Linked DNA regions of Callithrix jacchus. The protein of the gene in region 2 purifies or fractionates together with the protein of the main gene of each other region. This does not show direct contact. Links are inferred from orthologs where the notes say so. Each region holds a gene or a part of one and is shown on either strand. Other genes may lie near its edges.

What was found. The genes of interacting proteins can lie anywhere in the genome.
Region 1: the proteins of DNAJB6 (region 2) and MLF2 purify together in Homo sapiens (affinity purification with mass spectrometry; 3 studies listed by BioGRID and IntAct, with this or other methods). This does not show direct contact. The link is inferred for Callithrix jacchus from reciprocal best matches to the Homo sapiens genes DNAJB6 and MLF2.

What each region holds. Positions count from the first base shown.
Region 1 is NC_133510.1:21,018,992-21,028,784, forward strand, and holds MLF2 (myeloid leukemia factor 2), read right to left. Parts: upstream 6,471-9,793; 5' UTR 6,317-6,470; intron 5,746-6,316; 5' UTR 5,718-5,745; coding exon 5,668-5,717; intron 5,437-5,667; coding exon 5,307-5,436; intron 5,059-5,306; coding exon 5,023-5,058; intron 3,878-5,022; coding exon 3,824-3,877; intron 3,420-3,823; coding exon 3,291-3,419; intron 3,136-3,290; coding exon 2,976-3,135; intron 2,113-2,975; coding exon 1,925-2,112; 3' UTR 1,900-1,924; intron 1,676-1,899; 3' UTR 1,066-1,675; downstream 1-1,065.
Region 2 is NC_133512.1:90,921,046-90,930,607, forward strand, and holds the start of DNAJB6 (dnaJ homolog subfamily B member 6), read right to left. Parts: upstream 6,064-9,562; 5' UTR 5,927-6,063; intron 5,530-5,926; exon of another isoform or gene 5,267-5,529; intron 4,972-5,266; 5' UTR 4,874-4,971; intron 2,669-4,873; exon of another isoform or gene 2,565-2,668; intron 1,928-2,564; exon of another isoform or gene 1,506-1,927; intron 1-1,505. UniProt on the Homo sapiens protein: Has a stimulatory effect on the ATPase activity of HSP70 in a dose-dependent and time-dependent manner and hence acts as a co-chaperone of HSP70. Plays an indispensable role in the organization of KRT8/KRT18 filaments.

The DNA of each region.
Region 1 (9,793 bases), on a different chromosome or scaffold from region 2:
GATCCCAGCTACTCGGGATGCTGAGGCAGGAGAACTGCCTGAACCCAGGAGGCGGAGGTTGTGGTGAGCCGAGATCGCACCATTGCACTCCAGCCTGGGTAACAACAGCGAAACTCCGTCTCAAAAAAAAAAGGAAAAGAAAAACCAAAACCAAAACCAATGAGGGCTGTGGCTGCTGAGTTCCATCATCCACAGTTCAGAACCCAGGTGGTCGTGAATAACCCACACCTGTTTTGACTCCTGGGCTTCCTGGATTCTTTCAGCACTGTGTTCCCTTGACCTGGCCATACATCCTCACCAGCCTATGTAATGAGACGCAGTAACTGCACTGGGCTAGGACACCAGTGCCTGCTTGTTGGCTCAACTTCATCTCTCTGCTTGTGGCCCCACTGGACGAAACCTCCTTCTCCTCTTCAATCGACTCGTCCATGAGAGACAGGGGAAGAGCCTCCCTTCCCTGAGAGGACCCAGAGCCTAGGTGTGTCTTTGTGTCCTTACCAACTGAAAACTCAAGATTTTTATAAAGAGAAAACCGTGATTAGACTCTCCTACACATTTGTCATCATTAAGTAAGTTCCCAAGAGGAACAGAGTGACCCATTTGGCTGGGCAAAGCAAGAGTGAACATCTTGAGAAATGTGAGCTCCTTGTACCCTTCCAGTCCTGCTCAGGTTCCAGGTTTGTTTTCTCCTCTAGCCTCCTTCCCCGGGCTCAAATTCTCAACTGCTGTGGGTGAAGGGTTTGTGGAACGCTGCTGACCAGAGTTCCTCCCCTCTGAAGTCCTGTGTAGGGTTATCTGTAGGTGTTTCCACCCACAGTGCAGGAAGGAAACTGTGGAAGGTGCAAGGGGCAGCAAGTTCTGCAGGCACCTGTGAGAGATGCCCGACACATCCCTGAAGAGCAAAGTTACAGCAGAATGTGAGGGGAGAGCCAGCGAGGCAGGTGCTCTTGTTCTCACACCCCAGCCTAGCCCAGCCAAGTGCTGATGGTCCCACTGTCCGCACCACAGAGTTGTGGGCTTGAACGCTGACGTTACATGTGAAATGAGGAAAAGTGAGAGGGTAACTCCAAAGGAGACAGGAGGGTTTAATTGAACAGGAAAAGATCAAAAGTACAGCCACCATCCCACTTGGTTTTTTTTCCATTCTCCTTTATTCCATAAACACCTAGTTACAAGTTGCACAAATCAAAAAGTAAGGGTGTAGGGAAAAGTCTTGTGATGTGTGTGGGCAGGAGGAGGGAGAGAGTTGGGAACCAGTCTGCTCCTTTCACAGCCCTGGACAGGGCTACGGCCCCTCAATGGGGGCTCTGAGGAAGAGGTGGGCAAAGATCCAGGGTAGCCGAGGGATGGAGGAGGCCCCTAAACCCAGAGCTCACCCCAAAAGACCCTTCAATGCATGGCAGGAGTAGAATGGGAAAGGTGAGGGTGTTTCATTTGAAGACGGAGTGGCAGAATGAAAAATCAAGTTAGTAGATGCAGAGGCGGACTCATCATGGTAAGGGGATTAAAGAAGGAAAGGAAAAAGGAGGGAAAGGGTGCAGTGAAAGGTTCTCCCTGAGACCCCCAGGGAGAGGTGGGGGCCGGCTTGCCTGTTAATTTACTATTAAATTGGGGATGGGATTCAGAGAGGAAAAAGTTATTTCAGGGGATGATTTCTCAGCCTCTCAGCCTGTACCTGGAGGGAGAAAGAGAGAGGAACACAAGTCAAAAGGAAGAAAAAACTTATACACAGGCCAGGAGTTGGGTTTAATCCCGATTCCAGTGAGAACATTGTTCTCTTTCCAGCCAACTAAGACTTGTACTGTCAAACGCAGCTCCTCTGGGAGCCCAGGCTGCGCCTGCCTCGTGGCAGAAGACCATCTGCAGGTGCACTCCCGCCCTCCTTACCCTGATACTTACAAGAAAGGCTGAGGGCCCAGGGCCCTCACCAGTCATAGCGGCGGGACTGTCGGGAAGGGGAGTCCTCAGGTCCTTGGATGGCCAGGCGGGGTGGTCCCTCCGCCCTTCGTCCCCCCACCCCTGAGGACTCAAGCCGTCGAAACTCCAGGGGGCGCTGCTGCCGGAATCGGGACGTCTCCCGCCGCCACTCGTCATCAAACGCTGCGGCCTCACCTGGAGAAGACAGAGTGGACATGAGGCCTGTGTGCAGCCTCACTCCTGGAGGCCGATGTGCGAGCCAGCCACAGCTTCTCTGGCCAAAGCCGTGAAGGCTGAGTGTGTGTGCATGGCGGCAATTCCATTAGCTCTTTTGGTTTCTACATGGTCCCGGGAAGCCACTGGTAGGCCTAAGGTGGCCTACTGGAGGAAGAAATCAGAATATTATTCTTCAGGTTCATAGTCCTACGTGCACACTAGGTACTTAATAACTGTGGATTTGAAAAAGATAAAGAGAGGAGAAAGAAAAAAACGGATCCAAATGGAGAAGGGTGTAACCCTATCAACACGGAACCTCAGGGACAAAGTCAGCCCCTCACAGTGAGGACACTGCCAGCACCTGACTCAGCCCCGTCTGACACAGCCCCTGAGCTGAGGAGGTTCCAAATGCAGTAAGAATATGGGCCTACAGCTGGGCATGGTGGCTCCTGCCTGTAATCCCAGGACTTTAGGAGGCCGAGGCAGGTGGATCACCTGAGGTCAGGAGTTTGAGACCAGCCTGGTCAACATGGTGAAATGCTGTCTCTACTAAAAATATAGAAATTAGCTGGGCGTGTGGTGCGTGCCTGTAATCCCAGCTACTTGGAAGGTTGAGGCAGAATTGCTTAAACCCAGGAGGAGGAGGTTGCACTGAGCTGAAATCATGCCATTGCACTGCAGCCTGGACACCTGGGCAACAAGAGTGAGACTCCATCTCAAAAAAAAAAAAGAAAAGAAAGCAAAAGAATATGGGGTTGACCCAGAGCTTTGCCCAGAAGTTTATGGGGTAGGGAAGTCTCCTACTAGGGAATGCCAGCCAGGAAGTGGGAGGGAAGGCTCACTCTCATCCAGGTTGATATAGTCCTGCCGCTCCTCCTGGTCCCCTGTGCGATGGTTTCGGGAGCGCTGGAGGATGTGAGCCCTGTCCCGGATGTGATGCCCGATGGACATCTGTTCCAGTCCACTGTCTGAATCCCGAACAGTCCTCCGTGTCTCCCGGATCTGGGATGAGGCAGAACATGGTACACTCAGCCACCCCTTCCAAAGCCCTGGCCATCTCAGGATAAACACACCACCCACAACCCAATCCGAAAAAAGCAGCCAGGGTTTCTGTGAGTGCCACTCAATCCCAAGTTCTCTGGGATAGGAGGGCTCACCCCGCCTGGTGCCGAGCGCATCTCTGATGTCTCTTGGTAAACCTTGGGGGCACCATCGCCGGTATTGGAGTAGGAGATGACAGTAGAAGATGAGAAGGTCTGGCAATTGCCTCCAGCTGTCATGTGTTCCTAAGGACAGGGTAGGTAGGGGAGGGCTGAATGAGGAGGCACTTCCCCCCTGGTGAAGGATTTCACCCTTCAGCTCCCTGTTCTAGCCTGTATCTTTCTCACAAAATGTAACAACTGAAAAAACATCAGGACTCATTTTACCCTCCCAAATTCCTCTCAGTCCAATCACAGTCAAGAAGGACCTGAAGAGACAGAGACTTAATTGTATGCTACATAAAAGTGCTGCTGCTGCTTCAGGCAGGCATGACAGCAGATACACGGTCCCCAAGGCTCTCTGCTTCAATTACTTTATCCAGTACTTTACCCTTCACTAGCATTCTGTCTCCCTCTTGCCTTAGAGGGTTCAAGGTGTTGTCAGCCATCACTGAGAGCAAGGCCAGGGAAGGGTGTGGGGCAAGGCTCACCATGTTACCAATCATGTCGTTCATCATCCCAAACATGTCCATGAAGCCACCGGACTGGAGGAAAGAGATGGAACATAGTCAGGAAAGCAAAGTCAGTGTTCAGAGCTGATCCTGTTTAGGAACCCACGAGCCACATGGCTGCACATTTCATCTTCCTTCACATCTAGCAAGTAGTCTTTCTCATTCTCCCTTAACAGAACCAGAATACTCATGTTTCTCCTCCAGTAAGCTGCTGACCCCTCCTCAGTCTCTATGACTGCTCGGATTCAATTTTCCTTTTCCTGCCTTCTGTATTCCCCCCGATCTTTAGGAAGCAAGCCAAAGTTAATGGATTCTAAACTCTAAAGAGATAAGGCAAAGACCAGATTTTGCTAGACAATTACATCTTCCTAATGAGTATGAACTTCTAGGAGTACAAGAGTTAATAACATCTTTTCTTTTTTTTTTTTGAGATGGAGTCTGGCTCTGTTGCCCAGGCTGGTGTGCAGTGGTGAAGTCTCAGCTCTCCGCAACCTCTGTCTCCTGGGTGCAAGCGATTCTCAGCCTCCAGCATAGCTGGGACTACAGGCATGCACCACCATGCCTGGCTTTTTTGGTATTTTTAGTAGAGACGAGGTTTCACCATGTTGGCCAGTCTGGTCTCAAACTCCTGACCTCAAGTTATCAGCCGTCTCAGCCTCCCAACCAGACTTAGTAACACCTTTCGCCAGGTACAGTGGCCTACACCTGTAATCCCAGCACTCACGCCTATAATCCCAGCATTCTGGGAGGCTGAGGCGGGCGGATCACTTGAGGTCAGGAGTTCAAGACCAGCCTGGCCAACATGGTGAAACCCTGTCTCTACTAAAAATACAAAAAAGGGGCATGGTGGCTCTGCCTGTAATCACAGCTACTCAGAGGGCTGAGGCACGAGAATCACTTGAACCTGGGAGGTGGAGGTTGCAGTGAGCTGAGATCATGCCACTGCACTCCACCCTGGGTGACAGGGCAAGATGCTGTCTCAAAAAAAAAAATAATAAAAATAACACCTTTAATCCACAGGGCTCCTAGCATCTAAAAGGCTCAGAGCTTTGTGAACATCATGAAAAGAAGATTCTGGGGTTACCCATGAAACTATGCCAAAGAGGCAAATTTGGGAATAATATCTAAGGGTAGAGAGTGTGTGTGAAATGGAAGGCCCAAGGGAGATGAGGACTCACCATTCCCAGCATCCCAAAGGGGGAGACAGCTCCAGTCTACAGGAACACATGAGGAACAGAAATTAGAGACTTCATCCTATCTCCTTACAATCCCAAACCAGGCCCATGGCCTCAATTTTTGTTTTCCATCCTCTCGAAAGGGAGTCATAAAGCTCTTTTTCCTGACCCTTTCCCCCACTCCTAGAGCATTTCACTTGTTCAGTTAGCTGTAGGGCAAGAAAACTAATGTGCCTTCCTAACCACCCTCCAACCTTTGGGTCTCAGGTGTGTCTCAGCACCATTACCTGCTGCATCCTGCGGCTGGCAGGCCTGGTCCCTGGCATGTTGCCATCTGTGATGCTGAGGAAGGGGCTATATCCAAAGCCACCTGACAACATACGGCTCATATGCTGACGGTGAATAGCAAAGGGGTCCCTGTGAAGTGAGCACATAGTATGGATGGCAGAAGCACCAAGCTGTCAATCCCTCCACCACCCTGCAAAAAAATACGCACAGGGCAACAGTGGCACCAATAGGCTACTTCCTGCTAGGGGGGAGCTGGGTATCCAACCAGTTCCAACCATTCCCAGCAATGGGAACCCAGATGTCTGCCTTAACTGCTCAGAGACCTGGAGTGGGAGAGCTTGAGGGGGAGGGAATACTCACATCAGGAACATGGGATCCTCAGGCTCCACATCCCTCATGAAGCGGAACATCCTGATCTCAGCTCCGGGGAGCTCCACACTGGAAAGGTGTGGAGGCTCAGGTACGTGGAGGTGGCCAGGCTTTTGCACACCCACTCAGTGTAAGGACTCTCCGCACTGGCCTTTCCCAAACCTTGTAACTGACCCTCTAAACTCCGGGGAGACCCTACTACAGGTGTTCCACACAACCCTCTAGGGAGAGAAGAGCTCTTCAAACCTCTCTCTCAATTAGGGCCATGGAAAATTTTTCCAAGCCTCTGGGTTTCTCCCTCCCCCACTCAGTCATCCTCTTCCCAAAGCTCTGGCCGGTTGCATACTCTCCCCTCCTCCCCCAACGTCACCGTTCTAGATAAGAATCCTAAGTGCCGGTCCTCCGTCCCATTAATGACCCCAGTCACCCGCCCCCTCCTTATACCCAGGCCTCCCCCAGGCAGGCCTCACTGTGCCCCCAGCGCCCGTCTGCGGCTCGCCCAGCTCCCGCCTCCCCGGCAGGCGGGCAGGAGAGGTAGGCCTGAGCCTCTCCTCTCCCGGCCCCGCATCCCCGGCTTCCAGACCCTGCAACCCCGCGGGCCCGCTCCCGTCCCTGGCTGCCCGCTCTGCCGGAGCCTCACCAGTGCCCGATTCGGGCTCAGCGGCCCATCCGGCCGGTTTCGCTTCCCGGTGCGCTGCAGGGTCAGGATCGCGGCCCGGGACGCGGGGATTGGTCCGAGCTCGAGCTCTGCGGCCTCCCGCGCCGCCTCTTCCCACAGCTGCCACCTCCGTACCACCCCTCGGCCTACGGAGCAAGAACCTCGGCCAGGCCCGGGCGGAAGTGACGTCATCGTGCAACCGCCCACCCGGGGCCGGGCCGTGGGAGCCCCGCCCACTGGCGTGGGTGGTGAGAAGCCTGTGGCCGCGTCCCAGGGGCGGCGGGGCCGGGGGCTTGGGGCCAAACTCAGGGGAGCGGAGCCTGAGTCCGGGCGGGGGTTCCCTTTGCACGAGTAAGGGGAGCTCATTAGTAACCTGGATTTGGGTTCTGTGCACTGGAAGAGGCTCCCAAAGGCTCGGGGGGAAGGAGAAGAGGAATCTATTCCTCGGGAGGGACCGAGTTGGGGGTTGAACTTGGGGGCGCAGTGCAGCACGTTCCCTCTCCTTCCTCCAGGGGAAACTGGAGGACGAGGGGCAGGCTCTCTGGGCCACCAGGCGGGGCGGATCCCTGGGGGAAGCTTTAAGCAGACTACTGGAAAAGCGTTCTACCCTGGAGGGAGGATGGGCAGCTTTCCTGCGGGTGAGGCGCTTGGGCCTGTACCCCCTTGAAGAGGAGAGTTCCTGGCAGGGCGGAGTCCCCGGAGTGACGAAGAGGAGGAGGTGAAACTCTCCAGCTCAGATCTGGTTAGGGCTTCAGAAAATCCGATGAGGCAGAGAATCCAGGTTGCGGATTGGCCGCCAGATGGCGCTCCTCGGCCAGGCTGGAACCCGAGGCCCTTGAGAACTGGCTTTGGAGAGGGACTTGGACCCTTCCCCATTACCCATCTGTGAAGGGTTGGACCGGGAAAAGGCTACAGTTCTGAAGTCTATTCGTTTAATGCCAATCTTCCCTTCCTTTTACTCTAATTCTTGCGTCCTCAAGAGCTCCCAGTCCTGCACTGACCTTTCTTGCTTGCTTTCTTAGGTCAAAGGTCTAAAGTTTTTGAGAAGAAAGGAGTGGAGAGCTCAATTAACCTGGATCACCCAGGGGAGGAGCTAAAACGGGACCCAGGAGAGCTGCCTCCAAGGCTAGAGACTGATACTTTGACATACTAAATGTCTTGCATAAATCTGGCTCTGCTGGAGAGAAGGGCCCTCCCACTTGGGGTCAAGGGATTTGGACTGTCTAGCATGGACTTTAACCAGACTCATCCAAACTCCAGCTTTCCCTGTTCTTTACTCTGGCGATTAGCCATATTAGTGCTGTGTGGAGCCTGACCCAAGGAGAAAGACTTGTTTCCAGTAATTCCCTGGGGGAGAAGGAGGGGGTCCCTGGTGACTCAGGAAAAGGTGCTAGGAACAGGGCTTCTCAGGTTTCTTTGGACTTGACCATTATTAAAGAGGAAACAACAATAATAGAGACAGGGAGCAGAGACAGATAATTAAGATCTAAGCTGGCAGGCTGTCCAGTCAAAGGAAAACAGAATACAAGTAAATTTGTTTTTCATTGCTATTTCTGGGGAAGAGACAGCAAAATATTTTATCTTCCAGATGCTCTATCTCTGGACATCCCACCATGCAACTTCCCCTTATCCTCTTCCCCAAACGAAAGCAGTTTGACATGTGAAAAGGAGTTGTTCCTAGTAAAGGTTCTGTGGCTGAAACTTAACTAAGGAGATCCTATCGACTTTTTTTTTTGGTCCTCTTCTCCTCTTAAAGCAAGTTATTTATTGTCCAGCCAATCAACAAATGTTTAAGATTGGCCACGGTGCCTCATGCCTGTAATCACAGCACTTTGGGACGCTGAGGCAGGCGGATCACGAGGTCACAAGTTCAAGACCAGCCTGACCAACAAGGTGAAACCCCGTCTCTACTAAAAATTAGCTGGGCGTGGTGGCACACACATGTAATCCCAGCTACTTAGGAGGCTGAGGCAGGAGAATTGCTTGAACCTGGGTCGCAGAGGCTGCAGTGAGGTAATCATGCCGCTGCACTCCAGCCTGAGTGACAGAGTGAGACTCTGTCTCAAAAAAAAAATTAGCAGGCACCTGTATCCCAGCCATTTGAAAGGCTGAGGCAGGAGAATCACTTGAACCTGGGAGATGGAGGCTGCAGTGAGCCAAGATCACACCACTGCACTCCAGCCTGGGGGATAAAGTGAGACTGTCTCCAAAAAGATAAAAAATAAAAATAAAAAAAGAAAGTTTAATGAGGCTCAGCACTGTCCTAGGTACACTGTATTACGCATACATACAAAAGTATAAGACACAGTCTACCAATTTTTTTTTTTTTTTGAGACAGAGTTTCGCTCTTGTTACCCAGACTGGAGTGCAATGGCACGATCTTGGCTCACCGCGACCTCCGCCTCCTGGGTTCAAGCAATTCTCCTGCCTCAGCCTCCCGAGTAGCTGGGACTACAGGTGCACACCACCATGCCCGGCTAATTTTTGTATTTTTAGTAGAGACAGGGTTTCACCTTGTTTATCAGGATGGTCTCGATCTCTTGACCTCATGATCTACCCGCCTTGGCCTCCCAAAGTGCTGGGATTATAGGCGTGAGCCACCGCGCCCGACCAGTCTCTACCAATTTAAGGCATACAATCTTCTAGCCACCTTTTTCTTTTTTGGTTACCTGTTATTTATTTATTTTTTTTTTTTTGAGACCTCACCATTGCATACCAGCCTGGGTGCCAAGAGTGAAACTGTCTCAAAAAAAAAAAAAAAAAAAAAAAAAAATCTGCCATCAGCGATGTTTACCTTTGAATGGTTTCAAATCATAGTTAGTTTCTAACTATGAAAAACAAAGCTTAAAACCTAGGTTTTGTCCCAGATTAAAAAGAAATTGTTGGCTAGGTGCGGTAGCTCACACCTGTAATCCCAGCACTTCGGGAGGTGGAGGTGGGCCAATCACTTGAGGTCAGGAGTTCCAGACCAGCCTGGCCAACATGTCGAAACCCAGTCTCTACTAAATACACACAAAACATTAGCAGGGCATGGAGGCATGTGCCTATAGTCCCAGATACTTGGGAGGCTGAGGCAGGAGAATCACTTGGACCTAGGTGGCAGAGGTTGCAGTGAGCTGAGATCTTGCCATCGCACTCTAGCCTGGGCAACAGAGCAAGACTCCGTCTCAATAAAAAAAGAAAGAAATTGTTGATCAGGCACAGTGACTCACACCTGTAATTCCAACACTTTGGGAGGCCAAGGCAGGAGGCTCGTTTGAGTCCTGAGTTGGAGACCAGCTTGGGCAACATAGTGAGACCTCATCTTTGCAGTAAAAAAATTAGCCAGATGTGATGGTGTGTGCTTATAGTCCCAGTGACTCAGGGTTGAGTGGGGAGGATTGCTGGAGCCATGATCACACCTCTGCACTCCAGCCTGGGTGAGAGCAAGGCCCTGTCTCTCAAAAAGAAAAAGAAAGA
Region 2 (9,562 bases):
ATCAGTTTCTGGACAGGCGTGGGTAGCTCATGTGTGCAATCCCAGCACTCTGGGAGGCCAAGCAGGGGTGGATCACCTGAGGTCAGGAGTTTGAGAACGGTCTGGCCAACATGTTAAAAGCCCAACTCTACTAAAATTACAAATCAAGTCAGGAGTGATGGCGCAGGGTCCCAGCTGAGGCAGGAGAATTGCTTGAACCTGGGAGGCAGAGTTTGAAGTGAGTCAAGATCACACAACTGCACTCAAGCCTGGGCAATAGAGCATGACTCCATCTCAAACAAAAAAAAAATCAGTGGTTTTCTAAGCTCAGCTGAGGAGAGGCGAGGTGGCTCACGCCTGTAATCCCAGCACTTTGGGAGGCCAAGAGAGCCGGATCACCCGAAGTCAGGAGTTCAAGACCAGCCTAGCCAACACAGCGAAACTCAAGCTCTACTAAAAATACAAGAATCAGCCAGGCATAGTGGCAGGCACCTGTGGTCCCAGGTACTCTGGAGGCTGAGGCAGGAGAATCACTTGAACCTGGAAGGCGGAGGTTGTACTGAGCCAAGATTATGACTGCACTCTTGCCTGAGAAACAGAGGGAGATTCTGTCTCAAAAAAAAAAAAAAATCGGCTGGGCGTGGTGGTGGATGTCTGTAATTCCAGCTACTCAGAAGGCTGAAGCCGAAGAATTGCTTGAGCCTGGGAGACAGAGGTTGCAGTGAGCCAAAATCAATCATACCACTGCACTCCAGCCTAGGGGACAGACTCAGTCTAAAACACCAAAAAAAAAAAAAAATAGGTAGGAAAAATAAAAATTAAAACCCACAGCAGTGAATTCTCACTCCTTATCAAACATCACTTACTTATTTCATTCTTTAATATGTCCTAAAATGTTTATGAAACAAATATGAGAAGTTATTTCCTCATTACTCAAAATCAAAAACCATTTCTTCAACTGGCAGTTATAACCTACTAGATACTTCCGGGCTTAACTAACTCTCTTTCATTAAAAACATCATAGGAGGCCGGGCGCGGTGGCTCACGCCTGTAATCCCAGCACTTTGGGAGGCCAACGCAGGTGGATCATGAGGTCAAGAGATCAAGACCATCCTGGCCAACATGGTGAAACCCCATCTCTACTAAAAATACAAAAAAATTAGCTGCGCATGGTGGCGTGCACCTGTAGTCCCAGCTACTCAGGAGGCTGAGGCAGGAGAATTGCTTGAACCCAGGAGGCGGAGGTTGCGGTGAGCCGAGATCGCACCATTGCACTCCAGCCTGGGTAACAAGAAAAAAAAAAAAAAAACATAGTAATTGGCCAGGCTCAGTGGCTCACATCTGTAATCCCAACACTTTGGGAAGTCGAGGCAGGTGGATCATTTGAGGTCAGGAGTTCAAGACCAGCCTGGTCAACATGGTGAAACCCCGTCTCTAGTAAAAATGCACAATTACTTTCCTCAGCTGACACCAAAGTGCTCAGTTCTTCAGAGGAAGTTAAGGCCGCATTGGGGTGAGACCCTCCTTCATCCGGCGACTAGCACCACGTCCGGCAGCGCTAGCCCCACACTCACCCGCACCATGGCCTCCGTCTCCGAGCTCACCTGCATCTACTCGGCCCTCATTCCGCATGACGATGAGGTGACCGTCACAGAGGATAAGATCAATGCCCTCATTAAAGCAGCCCGTGTAAATGTTGAACCTTTTTGGCCTGGCTTGTTTGCAAAGGCCCTGGCCAATGTCAACACTGGGAGCCTCATCTGCAACGAAGGGGCTGGTGGGTCTGCTCCAGCAGCTGGTGCTGCACCAGCAGGAGGTCCTGCCCTCTCCACTGCTGCTGCTCCGGCTGAGGAGAAGAAAGTAGAAGCAAAGAAAGAAGAATCCGAGGAGTCTGATGATGATATGGGCTTTGGTCTTTTTGACTAAACCTCTTTTATAATGTGTTCAATAAAAACCTAAACTTAAAAAAAAAAAAAAAAAATGCAGAATTAGCCGGACATGGTAGCATGCCTGTAATCCCAGCTATTCGGAAGACTGAGGCAGGAGAACTGCTTGAACCCGGGAGGCGGAGGTTGGAGTGAGCCAAGGTCGCACCATTGCACTCCAGCCTGGGCAATGAGAGCAAAACCCCAAAACAAAAAAAATAAAATAAATAGCTAGGTGGTAGTGGAGCACACCTGTAATCCCAGCTACCCAGAAAGATGAAGCAGGAGAATCGCTTGAGCCTAAGAGGCAGAAGATGGGGTGAACTGAGATTGCCCAGTCTGGGTGAGAGTAAAACCCTAACTCAAAAAAATATATTTTAAAAATAATAGGGCCAGGCGCGGTGGCTCACGCCTGTAATCCCAGCACTTTGGGAGGCCGAGGCGGGTGGATCACGAGGTCAAGAGATCGAGACCATCCTGGTCAACATGGTGAAACCCCGTCTCTACTAAAAATACAAAAAAAATTACCTGGGCATGGTGGCACGTGCCTGTAATCCCAGCTACTCAGGAGGCTGAGGCAGGAGAATTGCCTGAACCCAGGAGGCAGAGGTTGCGGTGAGCCGAGATCGTGCCATTGCACTCCAGCCTGGGTAACAAGAGCGAAACTCCGTCTCAAAAAAAAAAAAAAACTGGAACGATGCAGAAGATTAGCACGGCCCCTGCGTAAGGATGACATGGAAATTAATGAAGCAGTTCCATATTTAAATAAAAAAATTTTTTTAGAAAAAAAAAAACAACTTACTTCTCAACTAGGACGTCTCCAAGAACATGAAAAAGATCAACCATGATTTATGTCCATACAAAAACATAGGATTCTGACAAAACACCTCATTAATATCAATACAAGGAACGCATCAATTTTTCCTAGTTGACTTATCCAGAAAATCATTTTTTCTAGGTAGGCGTCATTTTTCTATTCCTACATCATCGTTTCTAACATATTCTTGTTTTCACCAACTTTGCTTTTCGTCTCATTAACCTCTTTTTAAGTCTGAGATTCTCAAGTTCTATTCATCAAGTACAGCATTTGCCAAATCCTGCCACTCTTCTTACTCGCTAAAAAGCCTGCAGTTACCCGCCTCTCACCACAAGGTGGTGTCCTGGACAAATTTAAACAAACCGATTTTGAACAGAATCATTTCTCAGAAAATAAAAGTTTTAAAAATGTTTTTTTAAAATCCTGTTAATCCAGTGTCTAACCTGGATGCAAATAAATATTAAAAAGTAAAAATCCTGTCAAAACATCAACTCACAAAGACTGACTATATTCTCTTATTCCTCAACAGATACGCGTAAGCAATAGCCAATACAGAAGCTGACCTTTACTGCTGACCACAGTAAGGCGTTGTCTGTGCGGTCAGGCGGGTTACACTCAGTCCACAGCGACATGTTCAGGATGACTAAAAATACCTGCCCAAGTTTTAAAGTGCCCTCTTGTTAAAAAATCTTTTAAAATGACAACAAAAAAAGTAAATAAATACATGACAGCTGGAAGCGGGGGCTCACGCCTGTAATCCGAGCACTTTGGGAGGCCAAGACAGTGCATCACCTGAGGTCAGGAGTTTGAGAGCAGCCTGGCCAACATGGGAAAACCCCATCTCTACTACAAATACAAAAATTAGCCGGGTGTGATGGCGGGTGCCTGTAAATCCCAGCTACTCCGGAGGCTGAGGTGGGAGAATCCCTTGAGCCTGGGAGGGGGAGGGTGCAGTGAGCCAAGATGGCGCCACTGTACTCCAGCCTGGGCAACAAGAACGAAACTCCATCTCAAAAATAAAAAAGGTGCAAACAGACCATCCCACCCCATACCCCAAACCTGGATTTGCGTTATCTTCCTTGAAAACTGATGGGGGTGACGGGTACCACTGTCATTTGAAACTGTCCAGAGTTAATACAAGGGACTAAGTGCTTGCTTAAAAACACAAGCTAACGTATGCCACTCAGTTACAGGTATCACACTGTAATACCATAGCCGTATCTTAGTCTGTACAATATTCAACAACACTCCCCAGTGTTCCAAAAAAAACTGCCCTACAGCCAGAATTACTTCCCAAACCTAACACTTTCATATCCAGAATAAATTTTTAAATACTGACGTTTTGAAGAGGGTTCTGAACTCATCCCAATTTTTTTGGTTTGTTTTCGTTTTCTGAGACGGAGTTTTGCTCTCGTTGCCCAGGCTGGAACGCAACGGCACGATCTCAGCTGACTGCAACCTCCGCCTCCCAAGTTCAAGCGATTCTCCCGCCTCAGCCGCCCGTGTAGTTGGGATTACAGGTATACGCCACCACACCCCGCTAATTATTTGTATTTTAGGTATTGATGGAGTTTCCCCATGTTGGTCAGGCTGATAAAACTCCGGGCCTCAGGTTATCTGTCCGCCTCGGCCTCCCAAAGTACTGGGATTACAGGCGTGAACCTACATGTCCGACCTTCAAATATTTTAGAAGTTTTGCCCTCTGAAATTCCCAACTTTCTTACCTTCCACAGCAGACTAAACCTAGTTGGGCATTTTTCAAAAGCTTCTCAACCTTTTATTCTCCCACTTCCTGTCAAGTCTCCACATGTACCAATTGAAGGCAACGTAATTCCCAAATTTCACATTCGACATAATCCATAAAAACGCACAGCTCATTACGCTGTGTATAAAAAGCATTCATCCTTTTATCACAAAAGGCAGAAAGAAATGTGAAAGCACCAACTCCAAGGAAGCTTAAGGCTCTCAAGAGTGTAAACAATGAAGGCTAGAGTCTGCGGGACGCGGTGACTCACGCCTGTAATCCCAGCACTTTGGGAGGCTGAGGCAGGCAGATCACTTGAGACCAGGAGTTCGAGACCAGCCTGACCAACATAGAGAACCTCCGTCTCCACTAAAAATACAAAAATAGCTTGGGCGTGGTAGTGCATGCCTGTGATCCCAGCTACTCCGGAGGCTGAGGCGGGAGAATTGCTTCAATCCGGGAGGCGGAGGTTGCGGTGAGTCGAGATCGTGCCACAGCACTCCAGCCTGAACAAAAAGAGCAAAACTCCGTCTCAAAAATAAAATAAAAACGATGAGAACTACAAAGAGCGCCGCTCAGCCTACTCTTCCCAAACAGGCTGAAGCCTCCGGGCTCACAGGCAGCAACCCTTCGTTGCTGGCACGGTCCTTCTACTCAGGCTGTTTCCTGCCTCGTTTATGAGGAAATTAGTAATGAAGTTTACATCTGACTAGCAAATCCATCCTTTAAAAAATGCGCCGGCACCAAAACCTTTTTCGAGCCAACACATGGTCTGCAGTTTACACTCGGCGTGTCACTGACCTCCTAGTTGGGTAAGTTTTAGTATAAACTTGGATGAACTTGAGCCGCATGAGCCACGGTACAGCTTCTTTAAGGCAGAGTAGAGCGGCGTTCAGAGTAAGAAACAGCCCGCTCATCCACAAACTTCTGACCACCCTTCGCGATTCCCAGGAACAGCGCTCTGCAGTCCACCACCTGCTCCCTTCTCCCTCCGAACTTGGCGGCGTGGACACGCATTCCTGCTCCGCCGGCCACTCGCGTTTCTGGTTTCAGACTCCAAGTGCGGGAGGCTTAGGAAAAGCAAGCGCTCCACGCCTCCCACGGTGCCCGCCCCCGGCCCCCCGGGCCCCAGCCGGCCGCTCCCAGGCCCAAGCCCCACCCCCACCCCCGACCGCCGCCGCGGAGGCCGGGCCGCGCTCCAGCAAGGACGCCGGGCGGGGAGGACGCGGCCGGGCGGCACCAGACCCCAGCCCCAACCCCAACCCCAGCCCCAGAGGACCCCACCCACCCTTCGCCCCGCGACCCGGGCCACGGCCCCCCCGCCCCGCCCAGCCCTAGTCCGGCCGGCGACCCCGGTCACCCCCCGCACGCTGTTGCGAGGCGCCGGGTCAGGTCCGCCGTCTGCCGGCTGCGCGCGGGGCCCTCGGCCGACCTTCCCTGACCCTCGGAGTAGACGCTCACCGAGGACGAAGGCGACCGGTGGCGGGACGCAGGGGAGGTGGGGGTGACGGCCCGAATCTCCTCAGGGCTCCAGCACTACTGCGCTGGTGGCGGCGGCTCCTCGCGCTTTCCTTTCTCTCCTTTCTCCAACAACAAACAGGAAATGCGTCACGCGGCGGCGGCACAGCATCGTCAACTTCCGCCCGGTCCTGACGCCGCGCATGCGCAGTTTCCACTGCCCATACCGCGGGCTCGGTGTCGGGGCGCCCGCCCCACCTTCGCGAAGGTTCTAGGCCCTTCCGCCGCCACTTGGAGGCCAGGAAGCTGGGGGTGAGGGGGCGGAGCTCGAGACCGCGTCTACGGTACCCGAGAACCCAGACGTGCCGAAAGCGCCGTAGCCAATGGGCGGCCTACTCCAGGGAGGCCGAGAAGACTCCACGAGGGATTGATCGTTGTGGGCGAGAAGGAACCGGTTCTGGAAACCGCGAACTCCTCGCGCCCTTCACCTTCCTCTTGGCCCCGCCTCTCGCCCGCGGCCCCCCTGTGGAGCTGCGTGGCCTCTCCCCACAGCGGGACGAAAGCTGGGGCGCGGGCTGAGAACAGCCGAGAGCGCGCCTTCCAGCCTGGGCGACAGGGCGAGACTGTGTCTCAAAAAAAAAAAAAAGCTTCCAAAAAGGCTGGGTCAACATCACTGGTTTAAAAATGGCAGCAAGAGGGCCGGGCGCGGTGGCTCAGGCCTGAAACCACAGCACTTTGAAAGGCCGAGGCTGGCAGATCACCTAAGGTCGAGAGTTCAAGACTAGCCTGGCCAACATAATGAAACCCCCGTCTCTAAAATACAGAGATGACCCGGGCCTGGTGGCGCACACCTGTAATCCTAGCTACTCGAGAGGCTGAAGCAGGAGAACCGCTTGAACCCGTGAGGTTGAGGTTGCTTTGAGCCGATATCACGCTATTACACTCTTGCCTGGGAGACAAGAGCAAAACTGTCAGGCCGGGCGCAGTGGCTCACGCCTGTAACCCCAGCACTTTGGGAGGCCGAGGCGGGCGGATCACTTGAGGCCAGAAGTTCGAGACCAGCCTGGCCAACATGCTGAAACCCCGTCTTTTTAAAAAGAAAAGAAAAGAAACCCGGGCGCGGTGGCTCACACCTGTAATCCCAGCACTTTGGGAGGCCGAGGCGGGTGGATCACGAGGTCAAGAGATCGAGACCATCCTGGTCAACATGGTGAAACCCCGTCTCTACTAAAAATACAAAAAATTAGCTGGGCATGGTGGCGCGTGCCTGTAATCCCAGCTACTCAGGAGGCTGAGGCAGGAGAATTGCCTGAACCCAGGAGGCGGAGGTTGCGGTGAGCCGAGATCGCGCCATTGCACTCCAGGCTGGGTAAGAAGAGCAAAACTCCGTCTCAGAAAAAAAAAAGGAGCAAAACTGTCTGAAAACTAAAAACAAATAAGGCAGTGAGAGCGCCGGGCGCGATGGCGCATGCGTATAATCCCCGCACTTGGAAGGCAGATGCTTGAGGAGGAAAAAAACCAAGCAGAGGCCCGGGAAGACAAGTCCCCGCTCCCCAATTTAAGGAAGCCCAGTCACCCTGAGTTCCCCGGCGAACCGGAGAGCGTGAAGACTTCGCCAAGTAATGATGACAGAAGGAAACTGTGGCCGAAAATACAGATGAGGTTTTTTAGATTAAATCGTGACAGTAGTTTCCTGAAAACGCAGAGCATTTTGATCGCTGGACTTTAGGTCAGCCCCAGGCCCTCTAGTCTTTCCCGCGTCCTCATGCGTTCTGGTTCTAACCCTGGAGATCAACACAACACGCGTGGAGACGACCCCGTGCGGTCAGACTCGTTTCCAGTAGCGAACGGGTGCAGTCGACCCACAGCCTAAGGAGGCAGACAAGCAGTTATGCACTGGAGCCTGGCCCGCGTCTCCCAGTCTTCCTCTCCAGCATTGAGCCAGATGCTTGCTACTGTGTTGTCTTGGTCCCCGCCCACCTTGTACTTTCCTTTAAGACATAAAAATCCCTTTTTGTCACGCCTTTCCTGATCCTGTGATGTGCTGACACTGAATTCTAGGGACCTGCTCAGCCACCTTCTCAACTAACAACGGTGATGAGTTCTTGATCACTTAAAGCCTGGGGTATATTCAAGTAAAAGGCCCTTTAGCACTTGAATAACTTGTAGTTTATTAGAACTGTTAGTAATGAAAGAGTTCAAGAAATGCCACCCCGAATTATGCCACGTTAGGGTACTGATTAATAACTAGTACACTGAGTACCAAGTTAGTATGCCATCGATCCGAGGGCATATGGGGACCTGCCAAGGCAGGGAGGGGCATTCTCTGAATTCCCCTTAACCACATAAAGATAGATCATCCCAAAGGAACTCAATTGTCTTGACCCCCTTCCTGGAAATCTCAGCCACAGGGAAGAAAGAACCGGTATCACCAGACAAGAGTGCCAAGGGACCTCAGCTCCATGCCCAGACAGACTTTGCCACAGGCCCCCACCGATTCTTCGGAAGGCAAAACTCATGAGCTGCAGATCTCACTGGATTCTGGGTTGCCCTAGTATGCGTTGTAAATTTGTATACTTTTTCTCTTGTCAATCTGTCTACTGTCAGCTTAGCTCAGAGACTCCGTTATCAAACCCTCAGAGACCGGAGGGAAAATTTCCCCTCTACAGCTCCTTCATTTTAGACAACTGGAACACTTGGTTAATGGCTCTAATTTTTATACTTCAAAATGAAAGATTGCTTTATATTTTCTATTCTTTTTTTTTCTTTTGAGACAGGATCTTGCTCTGTCATTCAGGCTGGGGTGCAGTGGTTCAGTCATGACCCGCTGCAGCCTTGACCTCCTGGGCTCAAGCGGTCCTCTTGCCTCAGCTTCCCAAAGTGCTGGGATTACCGGTGTGAGCCACTGTGCCAGGTCATTTTTCATATTTCTTAAACTTTGTGTTACCGCATGTCATTTCTAGCAGATGATCAGTTAGCAAAGGAAAATCTGACTTGATTCTCTATTCTATTTTTTTTTTTTTTGAGACTGAGTTGGAGTGCAGTGGCATGATCTCAGCTCACTGCAACCTTCAGCTCCCAGGTTTAGGTGATTCTCCTGTCTCACCCTCCTGAATAGCTGGGATTACAGGCATGAGCCACTATGCCTGCCTAATTTTTTGTATTTTTAGTAGAGGTGAAGTTTCACCATGTTAGCCAGGCTGGTCTCCAACTCCTGACTTTAAGTGATCCAGCCACCTCCGCCTCCCAAAGTGCTGAGATTACAGGCGTGAGCCACCGAGCCCAGCCTCTATTCTCTTTTTTTAATTATTATTATAAAGACAGGTTTTCTTTTTAATTTCTTTTATAATTATTATTATAAAGACCATGTTGGTCAGGCTGGTCGTGAACTCCCGACCTCAGGTGATCTGCCCACCTTGGCCTCCAAAGTGTTTGGATTACAGATGTGAGCCACCATGCCCAGCCTATTCTCTCTTTTTTTTTTTTTTTTTACTGGTTATACAAATGGTCAAAAGGAAGAAATAGCACAGTATTTTGTGTTAGTATGGGCATCTCATAATAAAACGTAAAGTAATCTCAGCAAAGACTGGAATTTCAGATATGTGCGCAGCTTGGCACTGTCACATGTAACCTATCTGC